5 linked regions of the Callithrix jacchus genome follow. The protein of the gene in region 2 interacts with the protein of the main gene of each other region in a pairwise test. Links are inferred from orthologs where the notes say so. Each region holds a gene or a part of one and is shown on either strand. Other genes may lie near its edges.

Region 1 (3,953 bases), on a different chromosome or scaffold from region 2:
CCTTCCTAGTATCCATGTATTCTCACTGTTTAGTTCCTACTTATAAGTGAGAATGTGCAGTATTTGGTTTTCTATTCCTGTGTTAGTCTGCTTGGGATAATGGCCTCCAGCTCCAACCCATGTTGCTGCAAAGGATATAATCTGGATTAATGATCTAGCATGTTCTCATCAGCAAACAGAAGTTCCAAACACAAAGACAGTCCAGCGTGCCATGGTAAATGTCCACCTCTGGCCTCCAGCTCTCCCCTACCTGCATCTGTTTACCTCCCACTCCTCCAGAGTGGCTTCTACAGCTCAGCTGTCTGCTTTGGGCTTCCTACAGTAGAAGGCCTCCAATCTTCCCTCCCATTCCAGACAGAGCAGCCAACTGGGCCTGGGCCTGGGGGCCACAATGTGCATTGAATGCTGGTGGGATATCTGTCTGTCCTCGAAGGAACCCAGGTGGTAGGGAGAGCAGATCAGATCTTGAGTGGTTTGAATTTGATCAGAAGGAAGGAAAGAAAGAAGGTATTCTAAAATGGAAGAGCTGGGATAAATGTTGGAGGTAAGAAATGGGGTGACTCGGTGAGGAGCAAGGAGAATTGGCCCAGCCTGAGCAAGGTCCCCTCCCTGGTTGAGGAGATGGAGTCTGTGATTTGAGCGCTCTTCTGTGCCTGTCCCACAGGGGTGATGGACTCAAGTCGCTCCTGATTCCCAAGGCGTTCATTCATTCCTTCACTCACTCACTCACTCACTCACTCATTCATTCATTCAAGTGGGTTCTGAATCCTATCCAAGGAGCTAGGATATGGGAGTGGATAGGACAGCCCCTATCCCTTATTGGGTCCCGGGACAAATGTGACCCACTTGTAGGAGAGCGAAGGAACCACCCTATCTAGCAGCTCTTGTTTCTACTCCAGAAGGAGCCTAACTTTTTCCCATTTTACAGTCTGGGAACCTGAGGCTGCCTCCTTGGTGGAGGTCCAAGGAAGCACCAAGAGTGGGGGCAGCTCAGTCCTTGTCCAAGGGGAAGCTGGGAGCACAATATGGACTTTATGGGAAGGCGGGGGCGAGTGAGTCTGTGTACTGGGGTGGGGGGGAGTCCCCTTTCCCCGCCCCGTGGCAGCGGCGTGGCGGGGCTGGGGCGGAGCTGGCGTCGCCCCGGACGGGAGGGCGGCAGGAGAGACGTACGGACAGGCAGACCGGCGAGAGAACAGGCACGGCGGGACTGGCAAGAGGAGGCGACCCTGTGGCCGGGAATGTGACCCCGCGGACAGAGGAGGACCCGTGAGAGTGCGCTGTGCCCTCGCGGCCCTGCCGCGCACCCCGCCCGCCTGGCTTCCACTTTCATTTCTTCGGTTGTCCAGGCGTGGCACGGTCCGGAGGCGAGTCCCGCCCGGAGGCTGGCTGGCCGCTGTCCTGGGGCTGGGGTCCGAGGCTCAGAGCTTCGAAAGTTGGGGTGGGTTTGGGGTTGGACGGGGCAGAGGGGAGAGGTTGGGGGGCTTATCTTCGGGAGCGGAAATGTCAGGCGGGATCCTCTGGGTCCTACGGCCTGCCTGGCCCTGGGAGCTGGTTTGGGGATGGGCGTGGGTGAGAGCGTGGAGTCTTCGCCTCTACTTTTATCTATGATCTCTGTCCTGCAGAGCGTCCCAGGCTGGATTCTGGGTTCAAACCAGGGCCATCCTCTGTCCCAGATCCTGGGTCAGGCCCAAGGAGAGGTAGATGTAGCCTGTCAGAGAGCTAAAGGTCAGAAACAGGCAGGGTCACCCTGCTGTCTTCATTTGAGAAGCCCAGATGCCACCCAGGGAATGAACAAGCCACTGCCACTACAGGAGTGAAAGGATAGCCAACCTTGGGAAATGGGGGTGGGGGGAACCACAGTGGTTTAGGGAGGAGACAGGAGTTCGTTCTGTGACAGACCGAAACTCAGTGAGGGCATGGAGGTGGGACTGAAGGGAGTTATGCCTGTGGCTAGAAGAGCACCTGCCCTCCACCCAACCCCTGAGCTTACATTTTCCAGGGAAGAGAAAGTTTCACAGGAGTAAGGTGGGACACTAGCTCATTGGTCAGGACATCCCAGTTGCTGTGTGGAGTCAGCATATTGGGGGCAGGAAGCAAGCTGGGCTGTTTGGTGGAAAAGATGCTTCCACTGTCCTTCCACTCCCCTCCTATCTGTCTCCACCAGACCATTGACCAGCCAGTGCAGGAAAATGGCCTTTTACTCTTGGTCATGAGCCAAGCCCCAACTTATCCCAGTTACCAGTTCTGCTTGTAATTTGCTATGTGAACACAGGCTCCTCAAGTCCTGTTTTTAGACCTCAGTTTCCCCATCTGGGCCTCAGTTTCCCCATCTGTACAAGTGATTTGGGCCAGTTGATCTCTCAGGACTATTTTAACTCTAAGATTCTAGAGTCTAAGCTTTCCTTAAAGCATAAATACTGACTTTGCGGCAGGCCTTTTCCTAAGCTGGGAGTAGGGATGGAGTGGAAACTGCAATGACCGAAAGCAGCCTCTACCCAAGGAGGAGGAGATCCGAGTTCAGGAGGAGGCTGTGGGAGGAGGTAGCAGCCAATCTGAGGATGTGCGGTCAGGCAGGTGAAGGGATAAGAAAACATCCAGAGGCAAGAGAGTAGCGGTGTGTTCAGGAATCAGGAAGAAGCCCAGGGTGGTTGGCGTGGGAGGTGGGAAGTGGGGCAGGAAAGGTAGGACAAGGTGAATGCCAGAATGGGGGACTGTTTCTAACTATTGTAAAGGGGGCCATGCGATGTGGGGAGGAGCCCCACCTAATTGCAGTGTAAGGGATTTTGGAATAACTTGTCCCAAGCAGAGTTTAAAATGGAGATGGCAAGTGAAGTGCAGAAATCTTTTTGCTCTAGAAGCTCGGGTCCCACTCTGGAGACTTCTTTGGGTGAGAAGTTGAAGAGTCAGGTTGGATGAGATGACCTTTCAGATCTGTGAGGTTTTTTCAAAAGAGCAAGTTCCTGCTGAAAGGCCTGTTTCTACTCTCCAGGCTGCTCTCATTTTACTAGAGTGCCCCATCCTGGCCTGCCTTTGTGGGTTCAAGGAAGGACCTTTGCTTCAAACATCTCCCCAGCTACTTTGACTTGTTGCCAGTACCCTCCCTGCAATATGTGTCATGCCTTTGGTTTTACCCAGTTGTCACCTGGTTCCCACCCTCCCTTCCCCAGTTCTATCCCAGGGTTACCAGAGATGTGAGAAAGGACAGTACTCCAGCATCAGTCAGAGGTCAAGGCTAGGCTTTTTCCCTGGCCATATGCAAGCCTCAGGGTAGAGCTAAAGGCTAAAGTCAGGGCTCACACTCGCCCCAGCTCAGGTGTCAGAGGTCAGCCTGGAACCAGAATGCAATTTTAGCTTATACTCAGCCTTAGTGCTCATTCTGGGGGCAGGGGCAGTGCTTAGTTTGTGACTAAATTCTAGTCTTTGTAGGTACATGGGTCTGCATTTCCTGGTAGCTCACACATTCACAGGTGAGATGAGATGACTCAGGCTTAGAAACCTAGCTATAGCAGAGTGAGCCAGGACTTGGGTGGACCAAATCCATGGTGATAACAGGCGTCACCTGGTAAGCCAGTGACAGAGCTGGAACTGGAACCCAGGATTCCTGCCTCTGAGCCTAGGGCCCTGATCACTGTCTCCCTAAGTCTGTTCTGAATCTGGGATCCTTAAATTCTAGAAGGCAAAGCAAATTTGCCTGAGCTCTAGATGGGCCCCGCTGGGTAGATCTGACTATACTCTCCTACCTCCCTGTGCCAGGCACATAGTAGTTGCTCTAGGAATGTCTACTGAGTGTCAGGTGCAAGGGGAGGAGCCAGTGGCTTGTTAGATTTGGGGCTGGAAGAGACTGGCTTGTGGGGGAGGATCTCCAGTCATTGTGAGAGGAAGCAGTGCCCTTGTAGGCCTGCTGCCCTCCCCCTCCTCCAGTGCTTGCAGCCACACTCAGAAGCCGCCCAGCT
Region 2 (3,513 bases):
CGGGCAGATCACTTGAGGGCAGGAGTTCAAGATGAGCCGAGGCAACGTAGGAACACCTTGTCTCTACAAAAAAATTTTAAAAATTTTAGGCTGGGTACAGTGGCTCACGCCTGTAATCCCAGTACTTTGGGAGGCTGAGGCAGGTGGATCACCTGAGGTCAGGAGTTTGAGAGCACCCAGGCCAATTTGGTGAAACTCCGTCTCTACTGAAAATACAAAAATTAGCTGCGTGTGGTGGTGCACACCTGTAATCCCAGCTACTTGGGAGGCTGAGGCAGGAGAATTGCTTGAACCCAGGTGGGGAGGTTACAGTGAGCCGAGATCATGCCACGACACTCCATCCTGGGCGACAGAGCCAGACTCTGTCTCAAAAAAAACCTTTTTTAAAAGTTAGCTAGGTGTTAACGGTGTGCACCTGTAGTCCCAGCTACTTGGGAGGCTGAGGTGGGAGGATCACTTGAGCCTGGGAGGTCAAGACTGCAGTGGGCCATGACTGTGCCACTCACTGCACTCCACCCTGGGTGACAGAGTGAGACTGGCTCAAAAAAATATATATATATAAAATTTAAAAATTAAAAAATAAATTTTTAAGGAAAGAAAATGAGCTGGGTGTGGTAGTGGCACCTGTAGTCCCAGCTACTTGGGAGGCTGAGGTGGGAAGCTCGCTGGCGCCCAGGACTTGGAGGCTGCAGTGAACTATCCTGGCACCACTGTGCTCCAGCCTGAGCGGCAAAGCATGACCCTATCTCAGAAAAAAAGAAAAACACTGCCTCCCACTTCATTGAAGGTGCCATCAAGACACAGAGTTTCGTACACCACCAAGAAAGAGAAAGCTGGACTCTGCAGCTCTCAGGAAAAGCCAGAGTCTTTACTGTGGTCTTAAAGGCCCAGGTCATCAGGTTCTGCTGCTGACACTTCCCCTCACTCCTCTCCTGCCTCAGTGGCCTCTGGCTGGCCTTGGGCATACCTGAGCCGTGACCTCCGTGCTGTGGCCCTTGCTTTTCCCTCTGCTTAGAACATTCTCCAGGAGGCCTCAACTCCTCAGGCCTCTGCTCAGCCTTCGCCTTCTCAGAGAGGCTTCCCTGGTGCCCTGGTCCTGTCCACCCTCACCCCACAGCGCCTGCCCGTTTCTGCTGTGCTTTCCCATGGCAGCGTCACTGGTGGCGTGCTATACATGTGTGCATTGCCTTTCCCCTGGTCTGGAGTTGTAATGCATTCTGTGAAGCCTCCTTTTCTTTGTTTCCAGCTGCTGTGTCTCTGGCACCCAGAACACAGCCTGCTTACCTGCTGAGCAGTTGTTGAGGCTGATGTTTCTGTAACTCTCATTCCACCTTTCCGTAGCGCACAGGCGACACCAAGCCCAGCTTCTTCCAGGACTGCCTGATGGAGGTGTTTGACAACCTGGAGCAGCACATCCAGAGCCCTCTGGTGCTGCAGTCGATCCTCAGCCTGATGGAGAGGGGCACCATGGTCCTGACCACCAACTACGACAACCTGCTGGAGATCTTTGGCCAGCAACAGAACAAGCCCATGGAGTCTCTGGACTTGAAGGACAAGACCAAGGTATGGGCTGGGGGCACGGGTGGGCTGTGAGTGTGTGGAAGCACCTTTCACTTTATCGCAGTGTGAATTAATACTAGAGGATCCAGGTGTGGTGGCGTCTGCCTGCAGTCCTAGCTACTGGGGAGGCCGAGGTTGGGAGGATTGCTTGAGCCCAGGAGTTCCAGGCTGAAATGAGCTATGATCATGCCATTGTATTCCAGCCAGCCTGGGTGACAGAGAGACCCTTTATCCTAAAAAAAAAAAAAGTAATAATGGAAGGTGGCACACTGGCAGCCTCTGGAATACTGTGCTCCATAGGAAAACAAGATACTAGGACTTAAAAGTCTGAGCTGGCCTCTCCCCAGGGCAGGTGGGAAATGATGGGGCAGTGTTCTGTGCATCCCAAGACTTCATATTTCCTGCTTTTATTTTTTATTTTCAGAGATAGGGTCTTGCTGTGTTGCTCAGACTGGAGTGCAGCGGCACAATCGTAGCTCATAGCGTAATTTAGGCCATTCTTATACTGCTGTATAAGAAAGAGCTGAGGCGGGCCGTGGTTGCTCAGGCCTGTAATCCCAGCACTTTGTGAGGCTAAGGTGGGTGGATCCCTTCAGTCCAAGAGGTCAACGCCAGCCTGGCCAACATGGCAAAACCCCGTCTTTACTAAAAATACAAAAATTAGCTGGGCATGGTGGTGCACGCCTATAATCCCAGCTACCTGGGAGGCTGAGGCAGGAGAATTGCTTGAACTGGGAGGTGGAGATTGCAGTGAGCCGAGATCACTGCACACCAGGGTGGGCAACAGGGCGAGGCTGTGTCTCACAAAGCAAAAGAAAAAAATACCTGAGACAGGGTAATATATAAAGAAAGGAGCTTTAATTGGCTCCGCATTCCACAGGCTGTATAGGAAGCATAGCAGCATCTGCTTCAGGGAGGCCTCAGGAAGTTTCCAGCAGTGGCAGAAGGCAAAGTGGGAGTAGGCGTGTCACATGGCCACAGCGGGTGGTGGCAGGGAGGTGGCACACACCTTTAAATGATCGGATCTCTCAAGAAGTCACTATCACGAAAATGGCACTAAGCCGTGGGGGGTGATCCGGCCCTGTGGTCCAAGCACCTCCTCCAGGCCACGCCTCCAGCACTGGGGATTACAATTCAGCATGAAATCCGGGTAAGGTGAATGTCCAAATTCTATCAGTTATAACACCACAAAGTCCTTAGACTTTTATGTCCCTCTGTTTTCAAGATCAATTCCTAGAAGAGTTTTGTGGTCAAAAGCTATGAGTATTTTAAAGACTGATGATGTAAATTACCAAATTGTTTTCCAGAAAGTACCAGCTGCCTTCCCAGTGGCTGTGTACGGGAGTACCCATTTCCTGTATCTTGCCAACACGTGGTGTTATTAAAAACAAAATGAAATAAACTTTGTCCATTTGATAGGTGAAGAGTTTAAACATTGATTTCTTGTATTAAGGTTGAGCATAGTTTCGTTGTGACCATTTCTTTTGTGATGTGCTTGGGACCTTTGTGCGTGTGCTTATGTTGTCTGGGCTGACTTGTGAGAGAAGGCCCTGGCCCTGCTCTGGACAAAGAAACTGAGTTACGCAGAGATGTCGTCTCAGCGTCAGTGCAGGGGCTGGGCTCAGCTGCAGCCCCGGTCCCCTTGTGCCCGGTGCGGCGCCCTCCCGGGACGGGCATCCACTCCTGCCAGCAGTGCCTTGGGGCAGACACCTGCGCTCTGTGTCTGAGCCACACGGTCCCCTCTGCTGAGGCTTGTTGTGGTCAGTGTCTGGAAATGAATGGCCGGTTGCATAAACAGAACTGCCAGCTGGCTCAGCGCCCAGTGATGGCAGCGGGGCTGTTGGTGTTTGTGTCCATTCTGCCTGCTGCTGTGTGGGCCATGGAGTGAAGATGACTGGGCATTGACCTGCTGGGCATCTTTATATTGAACGGAAAGGAACATGCTTAGCCATT
Region 3 (4,128 bases), on a different chromosome or scaffold from region 2:
CACTGCAACCTCCGCCTCCCGGGTTCAAGTGATTCACCTGCCTCCTGAGTAGCTGGGATTACAGGTGCACGCCACCACGCCCAGCTAATTTTTGCATTTTTAGTGGAGACAGGCTTTCACCATGTTGGTCTGGCTGGTCTCAAACTCCTGACCTTGTCATGCTCCTTCTGCCCCGGCCTCCCAAGGAACAATTCTTTAATAGAATCTCAGAATTGGGAGGGTGGGGAAGAGGGAGTCATCTTGTCCAGACTGTCTCCCCGAGAAGAGAAATTCTTTTTCAAATATTCAGGATATTCAATCCTTGAACACGCTAATGTTTACTAATATTAGTATGTGAATGTATACTATGTGCTAGGCATTGTTCTAAACACTCTACATGCATTATCTTAATTGTCACAACAATCTCATGAGGCAGGTACTAGTATTATCCCTTCTTGACAGATGAGAAAACAGGTTTTGGAGTTAGTTCACCATTCGCAGTGATTCAGCTAGGGAGTAGGAACTGAATTGGACATAGTCAGTCTCTAAAACCTCAATGCTTAACCAGTGAGATCTTGTTAAAATGGGATTGAACACTGCCTGCCTATAGTTCTTTTTCTTTCTTTGAGACAGGGTTTCTCTTTCACTTTGTCACCCAGGCTGGAATACAGTGGCATGATCATGGCTCACTGCAGTCTCAACCTCCCCAGCTCCAGCAATCCTGCCACCTTAGCCTCCCAAGTAGCTGTGACTATAGGCACAGGCCACCACATCCAGCTCATTTTTGGTATTTTTTGAGGAGACAGGGTTTTGTCATGTTGCCAAGTTGGTCTCAAACTCCTGCATTAAAGTGATCTGCCCACCTGGGCCTCCCAAAGTGCTGGGATTACAGGCATTGAGTCACTGTGCCTGGCTTTATCTGCCTATAGTTCTAGCCTATTTGTCCTGCGTCTACACAGGAGCTACCGTTTCTTGGGGACTAGATATGTCAGTGGCTGGGTGACATGTTTTACTGGCATTTTTCCAATTAATACTAACAACAGTCCTGTGAACTTAAAGTTTTTGTCCCTATCTTACAGATGAGGAAATCAAGGCAGTGAGGTAAAGCAACTTGCCTGAGGTCACCCAGTTGGCAAGCTGGGGGCACAGATTTTCAGAGGTTTCTGGGATTCCAAACCCTGTGCTCTCAGACATTTGAGAAAACTCTCAGGTAACACACTCTTCCAATTATACACACACACACACACACACACATATATACACATACACACACACATATATATATTTTCTTCCCTTTCCAGTTTTGAGGCAGTCCCTTGACTAACACCCTCCTTCCTTCAGCTGTTCATCTAGTGAGTGGTACATGGTGCCAAGTGCCCTCCTCATTCCCATCATCTGCTCCAGAGGGTCTTTTGTTTGTCAAAATCCACAGAAAAATACACAGAATACAGTGATCATCAAGCTGGCCTTTTCCTCATTGCCACCCCCCACCAAAAAACCTGGTGGCCTCACTCTCCCAGCCCCAGGGCAATTAATACTGTCTTCTACCATTGCCTCAGGCCAATTTGCTCAACTGGTAGGGCTGATTCTATCAGATTCCTTGTCCATACTTTGTTGTTGGAGGATTTGTCTCAAGGCACCTGGCAAGGCTCAAGGGAAATGACACCTGAGACATTTGTGGCTTTGCCCAGGGGACCTCAGAGTCACCTGCCAGCTCCCAAAAGACAGGCTGCTAAGATAGATTGCATCTGTGAGATACTTCTGGGTATCCACCTGACCCAAAGCCATGAGTTAGGCACCCTGAAGAAAATGCAAAACACCACATGACCCTAACCAAGATGTAACTGAGATCAGAGCTTCTTCCCAAGCCGGTGTGACCGCTTTTGCCAGGCCCCTCCCATGTGACCAGGCTGGAGAGATGGGAAGCCTAAGGATAAGTTGGCTCTGCCAACTTCAACACGACCTGGAATAAGTTGCTGGGCTTTTTATATTTTCATCTGCCAAAGGCCTCAATTCTTTTTATAAAAAATGAGGCCATGAGCAGCAAGGTATGTGTGATAAGACTGAGTGATCTGCAAAGGCAGGCTAAGACTGACTTCCCAGACTCTGCCATTGAGCAACTGGTGACTTGGCGGGGGGTTCCTGAACCTCTTTGGGGCTTATGGGTTCAGGCTGAGAAAGTGTCTCCATTCAGGGTCCCCCACAGCTGACCTGGAAAGTAGGCCAGAGTGGGCAGGGAAATGAAGAAAAGCATAAACCTCTGAAAACCTGCCAGGTCCGTGAGGCAATAACCGGGTCCACCCCTTGACCAGAGCCTCCCCACCACCCTCATTCAGGCCAGCTCCGCGGGCAGGGCAGCCAGGAGGAAGGCTCAGGAACTAGGCGTCTCAGTTCCTGCCCGTCTGTAACCTCCCGCCTCCTGCTAAGCGACCCCCTGCCCTCTCTCGGGGTCTGTTTCTCCGTGTACGCAGGGAAGGCGTGGGCTTGTCGCCCCCTGGAGGCCTTCTAGCTCCGACGTTTTGAAGCCTGGCTCCTAGATTAAACTCCCTTCGGATTCCATTTTCTGGAGGGTCGCAAAAGCTGGGGGCTGGGTGGGGTAAGCCGGGGGACAATAGCAGCTCCAGTCGAGGCCTGAGCCCTTCAAGAGGAGCATCCAGCCAAACGGCTGTGCAGCCAAGGTGCAAGCCGGGGACTGCAAGTCTGCGCGGCGGGGACAGCGTAGCCACTCACCGGCATGACTGAGGCAGCGGCGGTGCGGCAGCGGTGCGGCGGCGGTAAGGCGGCAGTGGCAGCAGCGCCTCTCTGGGCTCGGAGGGCGGGTTCCGCTGCGCATCCGAGAGTGCGCGTTGAAAGCCCGGTCCCGGAGGCCCCGCCCCCTCTGGGCCGGATCGCAGCCAGACGCACCGCCTCCTTCCCTTTGCCTGAGCCCGTGGTCACCCTGCCTGGACGGAAAGAGGAGGTGAGAGGGGCGCTGCGCTGGCCTCCATCGACCGTCGGCCTTTTTCAAAACGTCTACTTCGGGTCAAGCTTGTGTTAGGAAATACAAGAAGGTCACTGCCTTGACCAGGACTGATCCATCCATCCCTAAAAGGACAGTGTCTCTCATTTATTCACCCAGTCAGTATTTATTGAGCGCCAGCTATCTAGGACACAGCAGTGGAAAAGACGTAGCAGGATGCCGCGAAGGATGCAGGCCGTGATAGTGCAGGGTTAGAGGAACTGTCGTGGCAGCGGAGGCAGGGCCTGACTGGAGTGGGGTGGGGGCATGGTGGTGCACGCCTGTAGTCCCAGCTACTCGGGAGGCTGAGGCAGGAGAATTGCCTGAACCCAGGAGGCGGAGGTTGAGGTGAGCCGAGATCGCGCCATTGCCCTCCAGCCTGGGTAACAAGAGCGAAACTCCGTCTCAAAAAACAAAAAACAAAAAAACTTGGATGCCTCATTTTCAAAACCTCCTGTAAGGCTGGGTGAAGTGGCTCATACCTGTAGTCCCAGCACTTTGGGAGGTTGAGGTGGGAGGATGGCTTGAGCCCAGAGTTTGAGACCAGTCTGAGCAACACAGTGATACCTTATCTCTACAAAATTTTAAAAAATTAGCCGGGCTTGGTGATACATACCTGTGGTCCCAGCTACTTGGGAAGCTGAGGTGGGAGGATCACTTGAGCCCAGAAGGTTAAGCCTGAAGTAAGCTGTGATCTTGCTAGTGCACTTCAGCCTGGATGACAGAGCAAGACCCTGTCTCAAAAACAAGAAAGCCCCCCAAAACACCCCTTTCATATACCTACCTGCAAGTGCTAATGTATTACATCCCTTTTGTTTTAAAGATCAAAATTTCTATATTATAGTTCCTCATATCATGATTAAAATCTACTTAACACTAATTAAAATAATACAGACATGTTTTAAAAAAATCACACAGCCAGGCACGGTGGCTCACACCTGTAATCCCAGCACTTTGAGGCTGAGGCAGGAGCACTGCTTGAGGCCAGGAGTTTGACATCAACCTGGTAAAAAAGTGAGACCCTGTCTGTACAAAAAAGATTAGCTATGTACGATGATGGATGCATGCCTATAGCTACTGGGAAGGCTGAGGCTAGAGAACTGCTTGAGCCCAACAGTTCGGGTTGCAGTGAACTATAATTGTGCCACTGA
Region 4 (3,513 bases), on a different chromosome or scaffold from region 2:
GAAATATGTCTTATAGTTTGACAAATACTCAGGTACCCATGGTGTTTTTAATTAGCCTAAGCTATTTTATCATAAATTATGTTTTTGAACATTGGGGAACATTCTAAGGTGTCCAAAGTAAGGTGAGGAGAGTGGAGAGAAAAGATAGATAGGCTGGGCACAGCGGCTCATGCCTGTAATCCCAACACTTTGGGAGGCTGAGGTGGGTGGATCACCTGGGGTCGGGAGTTCAAGACCAACCTGACCGACATGGAGAAACTCCATCTCTAGTAAAAAAATACAAATTTTGCCCGGCATGGTGGCGCATGCCTGTAATCCCAGCTACTTGGGAGGCTGAGGCAGAAGAATCACTTGAACCCAGGAGGCAGAGGTTGCAGTGAGCTGAGATTGTGCCATTGCACTCCAGCCTGGGCAACAAGAGCAAAACTTTGTCTCAAACAACAACAACAACAGATAAATAGAAAAGTCATCTCTATCATACATAACTCTTCTTCTCTCCAGCCAAAGTCAGGCAACCCTGGGTGTCTGAGGCTTTCACAGATGGTTTTTCCCCATTGCCAATGTTGGTCTCTTTCTGGTTGAGAAAGAAAATGGTTATGGACTTTGGTTCATGAGACACAGGACACATGGGCATGTGTCGTATTCGTGGCATTTCAGCCACTGCATGCAGCCCCTCAGTGCACAACTACACATCTCTTGCACTACAGGCAAGGCTGTCTGGTAAGCACTGAGCAGGTGTGAAAGAAGACTCTATAAAATATGGTTACTTTTTTTAACTTAGAAAAGTTCTCGATACTCATAAATGTTTTTGAAATGCTGACTCACTACTATCAGAAATAAATGGCTGACTTGAGAAATTTTGGGTGCAGTTCACTCTGTGTGTTTAAGATTCCTCCATGGCCAGGTGCAGGGCTCACACTTGTAATCCCAGCACTTTGGGAGGCCAAGGCGCCAGGAGTTCATGACCAGCCTGGACAACAAAGCATGACTTTGTCTCTACCAAAAAAATTTTTAGAAATCTCTTTTTCCAGGGGTTTCCAACCTGTTCCTCCCTCCATTTTAACTCTTTCCTTTTGAAATGTAAACTTTATCTGAGTTAAGCTATAGAATTTGTGACCATGTAACCCTATTATTTTTGGGGTGTGGATAAGGTGAGGGTTCTTTCCACGTGTCTTTCTCTGTCATTTCAAGAACCACCATCATATTTATGCAGCTTTGGTAGTTTTGCATGTAGAAAAAATACCCACTTTGCATTTTCTACATGCAAAAACTACCAAAGTTGTGTATTCATGTGCGGTTTTTCTGTCTGTGCCTTCAGCCCCTCCATCCTACAATTACTTGTCACGAGAAGGTGGTAGATATCCGAAAAGATCCCAGCGAATCTCTCGGCATGACCGTCGCAGGGGGAGCATCACACAGAGAATGGGATTTGCCCATCTATGTCATCAGTGTTGAGCCTGGAGGAGTCATAAGCAGAGATGGAAGAATAAAAACAGGTAAAAAGTAAAGGGGTTTTAAAGGCACCGGGGTGTCAGGGTATTAAGAGAAATTAATAGCTCATTGTGTTAGGCAACCATTTTCAAAATTAATGAGAGAATGTGGGAGTGATCAGCCAGGACTTTTGCTACCCATTGACCATGATTGGTTTGAGTATACTTACGAGACCAGGTTCCACTCTTCTCAGTCAACCCACCAAAGAACCACTTAGAATGAGTGGAACTCAATTATTACTTGCAAGTAAAGCTAGAATCTCCAAACTGTTCCAGGAATTAATAGAGAACTCTACGGTTATGAGCAAGTTGCCTCTATTAAATGGCATAATTTAGTTCCATTCATTCTAAGTGGTTCTTTGGTGGGTTGATCCAGTGATCAAACATGAATTATTCCATTATATGGGATAGATAGAGAACGCCATTTGATAGATTTGATTCAATGAATACTCATAAGTGAAAGTATCATGCTAGATTTCACTACTTTAAGCTCACGTGTTCTGGCCTACTTTGAGTAAATAAAGGAAGGTGATATCAAATTTGCCTCTACAAATATGTATCCTTAATAATATTGTCCATTCATACAAGAGGGTAGCTCAGATTAATGAGGAATTATACCATTTAAAAGTCCAGATTCAAGAGAGAAACTGTAGTTTCCCAAGTACAGTAGCTGAGTCTGAGGAGCTATCGGGAGATGGTATCTTAAGAGATTTAGTCAGCTGGCTGAAAGATGCTTCTTTTGGGTCAGAAAGGACTCAAGGCCTTTCTCTCCTCCTGTCTTTTTGCTCTTGCTACGATTATTCTGTATTAGAAAGATGATAAGCAAAGGGGGACACAGAAAACAAGATGGAGACAAAAGATTAGAAAGTGGAAATAGGGGAGATGTATATTTTAGTTTTTTCTGCAAAACACCTGGGTGGAGAATGATGAAGCCAAACAAAGTTGCTTGTCAGAATGACTTGTTAGCAAAACATGAGCTAGAGGATTATATGATCTGTATGGAAATGATCCCCCACTTGGTAGGTGCTTAACCAGTAGTAGCTGTTTCACCTTGACAATGAAAATGTTCTCCTTTAAGAGTGCAGCTCCAAGACTCCTCTGCCACACACTCTCATGGGTAGTTTCTTATTCATTCAATCCATATTTACTGGATGCTTTCTACCTGCCAAGCTCTGTGCAAATGCTGGAGCTTTTGCCAAATGTTTTTATGCTAAAAACAAGAAACAAAGGAGTGAAAAAGTAGGTTTTCTTTCATTAAATAGTGAACAGGGCTAATTTTCCTCTCTCCCTTCCTTCCTTCAGCAAGAGCTAAACACTGATAGGTGTGTTTTAGAAAACCCCAAACAAGTCTTAAAGCACTTCGGAATGCACACAGTGTTTACCATTTGCTATGTGAGCACCCAGCCTCCCATCAGCAAAGAAAACCTTTGCCCTCTCTGCATCCCTGTATCCCTGCATCCCAGTCGGCCCCTACCTCCTTGCACTTTAAGCGGAAGTCCTTGTTCATGCTCTCACTAAAGGTAGCTTCTACTTCTCTGGCCATCAGGTGACATTTTGTTGAATGTGAATGGGGTCGAACTGACAGAGGTCAGCCGGAGTGAGGCAGTGGGATTGTTGAAAAGAACATCCTCCTCGATAGTACTCAAAGCTTTGGAAGTCAAAGAGCGTGAGCCCCACGAGGACTGCGGCAGCCCAGCAGCCCTGGATTCTAACCACAACATGGCCCCACCCAGTGACTGGTCCCCATCCTGGGTCATGTGGCTGGAATTACCACGGTAAGTCCCAATGCAACATCCCTGTTAGGGGCGTGAGAGGAAACAGTTACATTTCTTAAACCACACTTTTACTTTCTAGGGCTGATTCATGGCACTAGCATCTTAATGAGACCCAATCTTGGTTGTGGGACTGTAAAATAAGTCTCTCTTCCTATTCGTAACAGAAAATGCATGTGGGCATTCTGGGGCAAGGATGAAAGCCTGGATGTGGAAACACTGTTAGGTGTTCAGGTTGAGGCGCTCACAGG
Region 5 (4,207 bases), on a different chromosome or scaffold from region 2:
AGAACTTGGGTCTGGTTTAGGAACACTTCTTACCCCCCTAGGGCCTGAAAACATCTTCCAGTTTTATTTCAGAATTGCTGTGGACCGTGATTGTTCTGTCTCCTCCTCTTCTCTTTTTCACGTTGAGGTATTCATTGTGGTTATCTGGCCCATCATATGTTGAGTGCATGGGAGAGAAAATGCATCTTTTTAGTTTGTAAGTCTCTGGATCAAGAGGAGCTGCACTGGACAAGCCAATCTAGGACAGACAATGAGATCCTAGATTTTGTGCCTGATGTTGGGATTGGAAGAAGCTTTTGGGGATCTTGGGAGGAACACTGGAAACCAATCACAGTTTGGGTTGAAAATATCTCTCCTGTTTGGAAATTTTAAGGCATTTTTGGCTTGTCTAAGTGCACAGGTTAAGCAGGCTTACTTCCAGCAACCTCAGACTTGACCCCACCTATGTGACACCCACACCCATGACCACATCTTGGACTATTTTTTAATTTTTATTTTTTTGAGACAGTCTCGCTTTGTTGCCCAGGCTGGAGTGCAGTGGGGCAATCTCAACTCACTGCAACCTCCACCTCCCGGCTTCAAGCGATTCTCCTGCCTCAGCCTCCTGAGTAGCTGGGATTACAGGCGCGCGCCACTTCGCCCGGCTAATTTTTATTTCTAGTAGAGACAGGGCTTCACCATGCTGGTCTCGAACTCCTGACCTCAGGTGATCTGCCTCCCTTGACCTCCCAAAGTGCTGGGATTACAGGTGTGAACAACGGCTCCCAGCTCATTCACTTCTTTTTTTTTTTTTTTTTTTTTTTTTTTTAAGACGGAGTCTCACTCTTGTCATCCAGGCTGGAGTGCAATGGCATGACCTCGGCTCACCACAACCTCCGCCTTCTGGGTTCAAGCGATTCTCCTGCCTCAGCCTCCCGAGTGGCTGGGATTAAGGCGTGTGCTACCAGGCCCGGGTAATTTTGTATTTTTAGTCGGGACGGGGTTTCTCCACGTTGGTCAGACTGGTCTCGAACTCCCGACCTCAGGTGATCCGCCCGCCTAGGTCTCCCAAAGTGCAGGGAGTACAGGTGTGAGCCGCCGCGCCGGGCCTCATTCACTTCTTGAAGGATCATTTTTACCAGCCATCAAGTAGCTATCAGGTCCTACGTCTCTCCAGCTACGGCGGACAAAGATCCCCGTCTGGAGGAAAGGACGAACATTAGGCAAGCACTCGGAATCGCGCGAAGTGCACGCCGTCAGATCGCCATGGTGAGTGAGCGGCCCAGCCCGAAACACCGACGGCCACCAACCGCAAACGGGAGGACGGTCACAGCACCTGCAGCGCACGCGCAAGGCAGGCTCTTCCGTGGGGGATACGTCATCTCTCGGCGTCTACGCGTGACGTCACCGGCGGCCGCGGACAGGAAGAGGCTCTGGGGTGGCACATGTGTATGGCGGCGCGGCGGGCGGGTACATGGCGGGCTCTGTGGGACTGGCGTTGTGCGGGCAGACGCTGGTGGTGCGGGGCGGCAGCCGATTCCTGGCCACCTCCACTGCAAGCAGGTGAGGGGGCCTTGGTCTTGTCACAGGGAGCCCAGGCTGCGGGCGCGCGCCGGGCCCTGACTACGCGGCTTCTCCCGCACTGCCTGATCGCACCTGCTCTGGGGTGACCCAGGGGAACCCCGCTCCAGCCCAGGAGCCCTCCGCCGCTGTCTCTACCTGGCCGCGTGTCCGGGAGTGGGGAGATAAGCCAATCTAGGAGAGACCATGAGATCCTAGATTTCGGCGCCCCATAGGCCCCGGCGCGCTCCTCGCCCTAGTCGGCGAGTCTGCAGTGTTCTCGCCCGGTTAGCGCCAGGTCACTTCCAGTCTCGGCGGCGCCGGCGGGGATCCTGACCGCTTGGCAAGGCCGGGCCGAATACGCTGTGAAGACCTGGGAAGAAGGGGGTCTCGGGTTTCCCTGATGAGAGGGGCGGGGCTTACGACGAGCTCGCTGACCCCCGAGCGGGCTCCCTCTCTTTGCAGGGGTGCTTGTCCCCTCTTCCCGGCCTGCAGCCACCTACCCGGCCTTAATTGCTCCTTAGGACTCCCGGGTCGTCTCTGACACTTACACAACAGACCCGAGGCTGCACGTAGAGCTCGCAGCTGCCCCTCCCTAGCGACCCTTCACATGGCTCGAGTTTTGCTTTCTGTAATTTTATTCTCCATCCTTATTGTATCACCAGTGCTAGGACGACGCCGGGGATTTTTAAATTAGTAAATGTTTGTTGATGGGACAGTCCCGACTTAGGACTCTCGGAGCTATTAGTAGTGTTGTCAGTTTCAGCCGTCATTTTCTTTCCCAGGTGGTTTGTGATTTAATACTTGAAACAGATGCTGTGTCTGTCAGATGTACTTATATTCTTTGCTTTCAGAAAGCCAATTCGATGTTAAATTAGGTCTTACAAAAATTGTACTCAGAAACCTGTCATGTATCCAAGATAATGTTGCTTTAGAGACTCACGGTCTAATACCTGCCCAGAGTGAGCTGTGGATGCGTTAGACATGATGTGCTTACCATCAGTCTACGCATTTTGAGGAAATTCTAGCGGCTGGTGGAGTTTCCGACTTGGAAGACAAGTCCACTGTTCCATATGGAAAGTTTTTTGGTGCACTTTAAAGGCTATAAATAAGTACAAGCTACGTGCCAGGGTAGGGGATGGGATAAACTGAAGAGAGTTTAGATTCAGTATGGAAGATGGGTGATTGTTATGTTGGTAAGTGCTTGGAGTCATGGGAACATTTTCAGGTAGGTGAGATGCGTTTCTGAATAGGTAATGGCTCTTTGAAATTTGTATAGAGAATCCCACTGAAAACTCAACAGCATCAGAACATCGCTTAGATTTTCTGGTGCCTGAAGGAATAGCATAAGAATAACGTTATTAATTCCTGTTGAGTGTTTACCCCTCGTTTGTTTTACTGATTTTTTTTTTTTTTTTTTTTTTTTCTGAGACAGTCTCACTCTGTCTCCCAGGCTGGAATGCGGTGGCAGGATCTTGGCTCACTGCAACCACTGCCACGCGGGTTCAAGTGATTTTCCTGCCTCAGTCTCCCGAGCGATTCTCCTGCCTCAGTCTCCTGAGCAGCTGTAATTACAGGCACCCACCACTGCGCCTGGCTAATTTTTGTATTTTTAGTAGAGACAGGGTTTCACCATCTTGGTCAGGCTGGTCTTGAACTCTTCACCTCGTGAGCCACCCACCTCAACCTCCCAAAGTGCTGGGACGACAAGCGTGAGCCACCCGCCTGGCCTGGACTTTTTTTTCCCACAGAACTATTGGGTTGTATATGATATACTCCAATAAGAGATTAAGCAACTAAAGTTGTTAACTGTTCCCTGAAACATTATATCTAGACAGTTTTCTTGTCATGGATAAGACCTTTAATGAATATGCAAATATTTTTTGATCTACAGAGAAAAAAAATCTTTTTTTTTTTTTTTTTTTTTTAAACAACGTTCTCCTTTAAAAATCATTGTTGCTGGACACAGTGGCTGATGCCTATAATCCCAGCACTTTGGGAAATGGAGGCAGGTGGATCGCCTTAGGTCAGGAGTTCGAGATCAGCCTGGCCAGTATAGTGAAACCCCATCTCTACTAAAAATACAAAAAATTAGCTGGACATGGTGGTGGGCGCCTGTAATCCCAGCTACTCGGGAGGCTGAGGCGGGAGAGTCACTTGAACCCGGGAAGTGGAGGTTTCAGTGAGCTGAGATTGCACCATTGCACTCCAGCCTGGGTGACAGAGTGAGACTGTCTCAAAAAAAATTATAAAAACATAATTTTTGGGGGGTGGGGACTAGGGGAGGGGTAGCATTAGGAGAGAAGTACCTTATGTAGATGACAGATCGATGGGGACAGCAAGCCACCATGGCACGTATATACGTATGTAACAGACCTGCATGTTCTGCACATATACCCCAGAACTTAAAGTGTAATCATTTAAAAAAAAAGTATTGTGAATAAAAGATTATTCTAAATTAAAAAAAAATCATTGTTACTTCTCTTTAATGATGACGCCTTTTAAAATCATTGTTATTTACCTTTAGTGATGACGGCCCCTTCATCTATGACTGCAGTGCTGCAGAACAGAAGCCACAAGAAAATAAAGGGTGAGATGTGGGCCTGATTTAATGGTTTGATAACGGGACCAGAGGGTCTAAGAAGCAATTGTTGTCTTACTTGCTGAA

The links.
Region 1: the proteins of FAM118A (region 2) and MOB3C interact in binary tests that used the Homo sapiens proteins (3 or more experiments, as listed by UniProt). The link is inferred for Callithrix jacchus from reciprocal best matches to the Homo sapiens genes FAM118A and MOB3C.
Region 3: the proteins of FAM118A (region 2) and ATOX1 interact in binary tests that used the Homo sapiens proteins (3 or more experiments, as listed by UniProt). The two-hybrid records come from large-scale screens. The link is inferred for Callithrix jacchus from reciprocal best matches to the Homo sapiens genes FAM118A and ATOX1.
Region 4: the proteins of FAM118A (region 2) and LNX1 interact in binary tests that used the Homo sapiens proteins (3 or more experiments, as listed by UniProt). The link is inferred for Callithrix jacchus from reciprocal best matches to the Homo sapiens genes FAM118A and LNX1.
Region 5: the proteins of FAM118A (region 2) and WDR4 interact in binary tests that used the Homo sapiens proteins (3 or more experiments, as listed by UniProt). The two-hybrid records come from large-scale screens. The link is inferred for Callithrix jacchus from reciprocal best matches to the Homo sapiens genes FAM118A and WDR4.

What each region holds. Positions count from the first base shown.
Region 1 is NC_133508.1:83,363,049-83,367,001, reverse strand, and holds the start of MOB3C (MOB kinase activator 3C), read left to right. Parts: upstream 1-1,142; 5' UTR 1,143-1,438; intron 1,439-3,953. UniProt on the Homo sapiens protein: May regulate the activity of kinases.
Region 2 is NC_133502.1:214,651,446-214,654,958, reverse strand, and holds part of FAM118A (protein FAM118A), read left to right. Parts: intron 1-1,341; coding exon 1,342-1,563; intron 1,564-3,513.
Region 3 is NC_133503.1:50,706,607-50,710,734, forward strand, and holds the start of ATOX1 (copper transport protein ATOX1), read right to left. Parts: upstream 2,804-4,128; 5' UTR 2,716-2,803; coding exon 2,710-2,715; intron 1-2,709. UniProt on the Homo sapiens protein: Binds and deliver cytosolic copper to the copper ATPase proteins. May be important in cellular antioxidant defense.
Region 4 is NC_133504.1:143,227,751-143,231,263, forward strand, and holds part of LNX1 (E3 ubiquitin-protein ligase LNX), read left to right. Parts: intron 1-1,318; coding exon 1,319-1,496; intron 1,497-3,036; coding exon 3,037-3,265; intron 3,266-3,513.
Region 5 is NC_133522.1:48,644,294-48,648,500, reverse strand, and holds the start of WDR4 (tRNA (guanine-N(7)-)-methyltransferase non-catalytic subunit WDR4), read left to right. Parts: upstream 1-1,395; 5' UTR 1,396-1,453; coding exon 1,454-1,542; intron 1,543-4,066; coding exon 4,067-4,129; intron 4,130-4,207. UniProt on the Homo sapiens protein: Non-catalytic component of the METTL1-WDR4 methyltransferase complex required for the formation of N(7)-methylguanine in a subset of RNA species, such as tRNAs, mRNAs and microRNAs (miRNAs).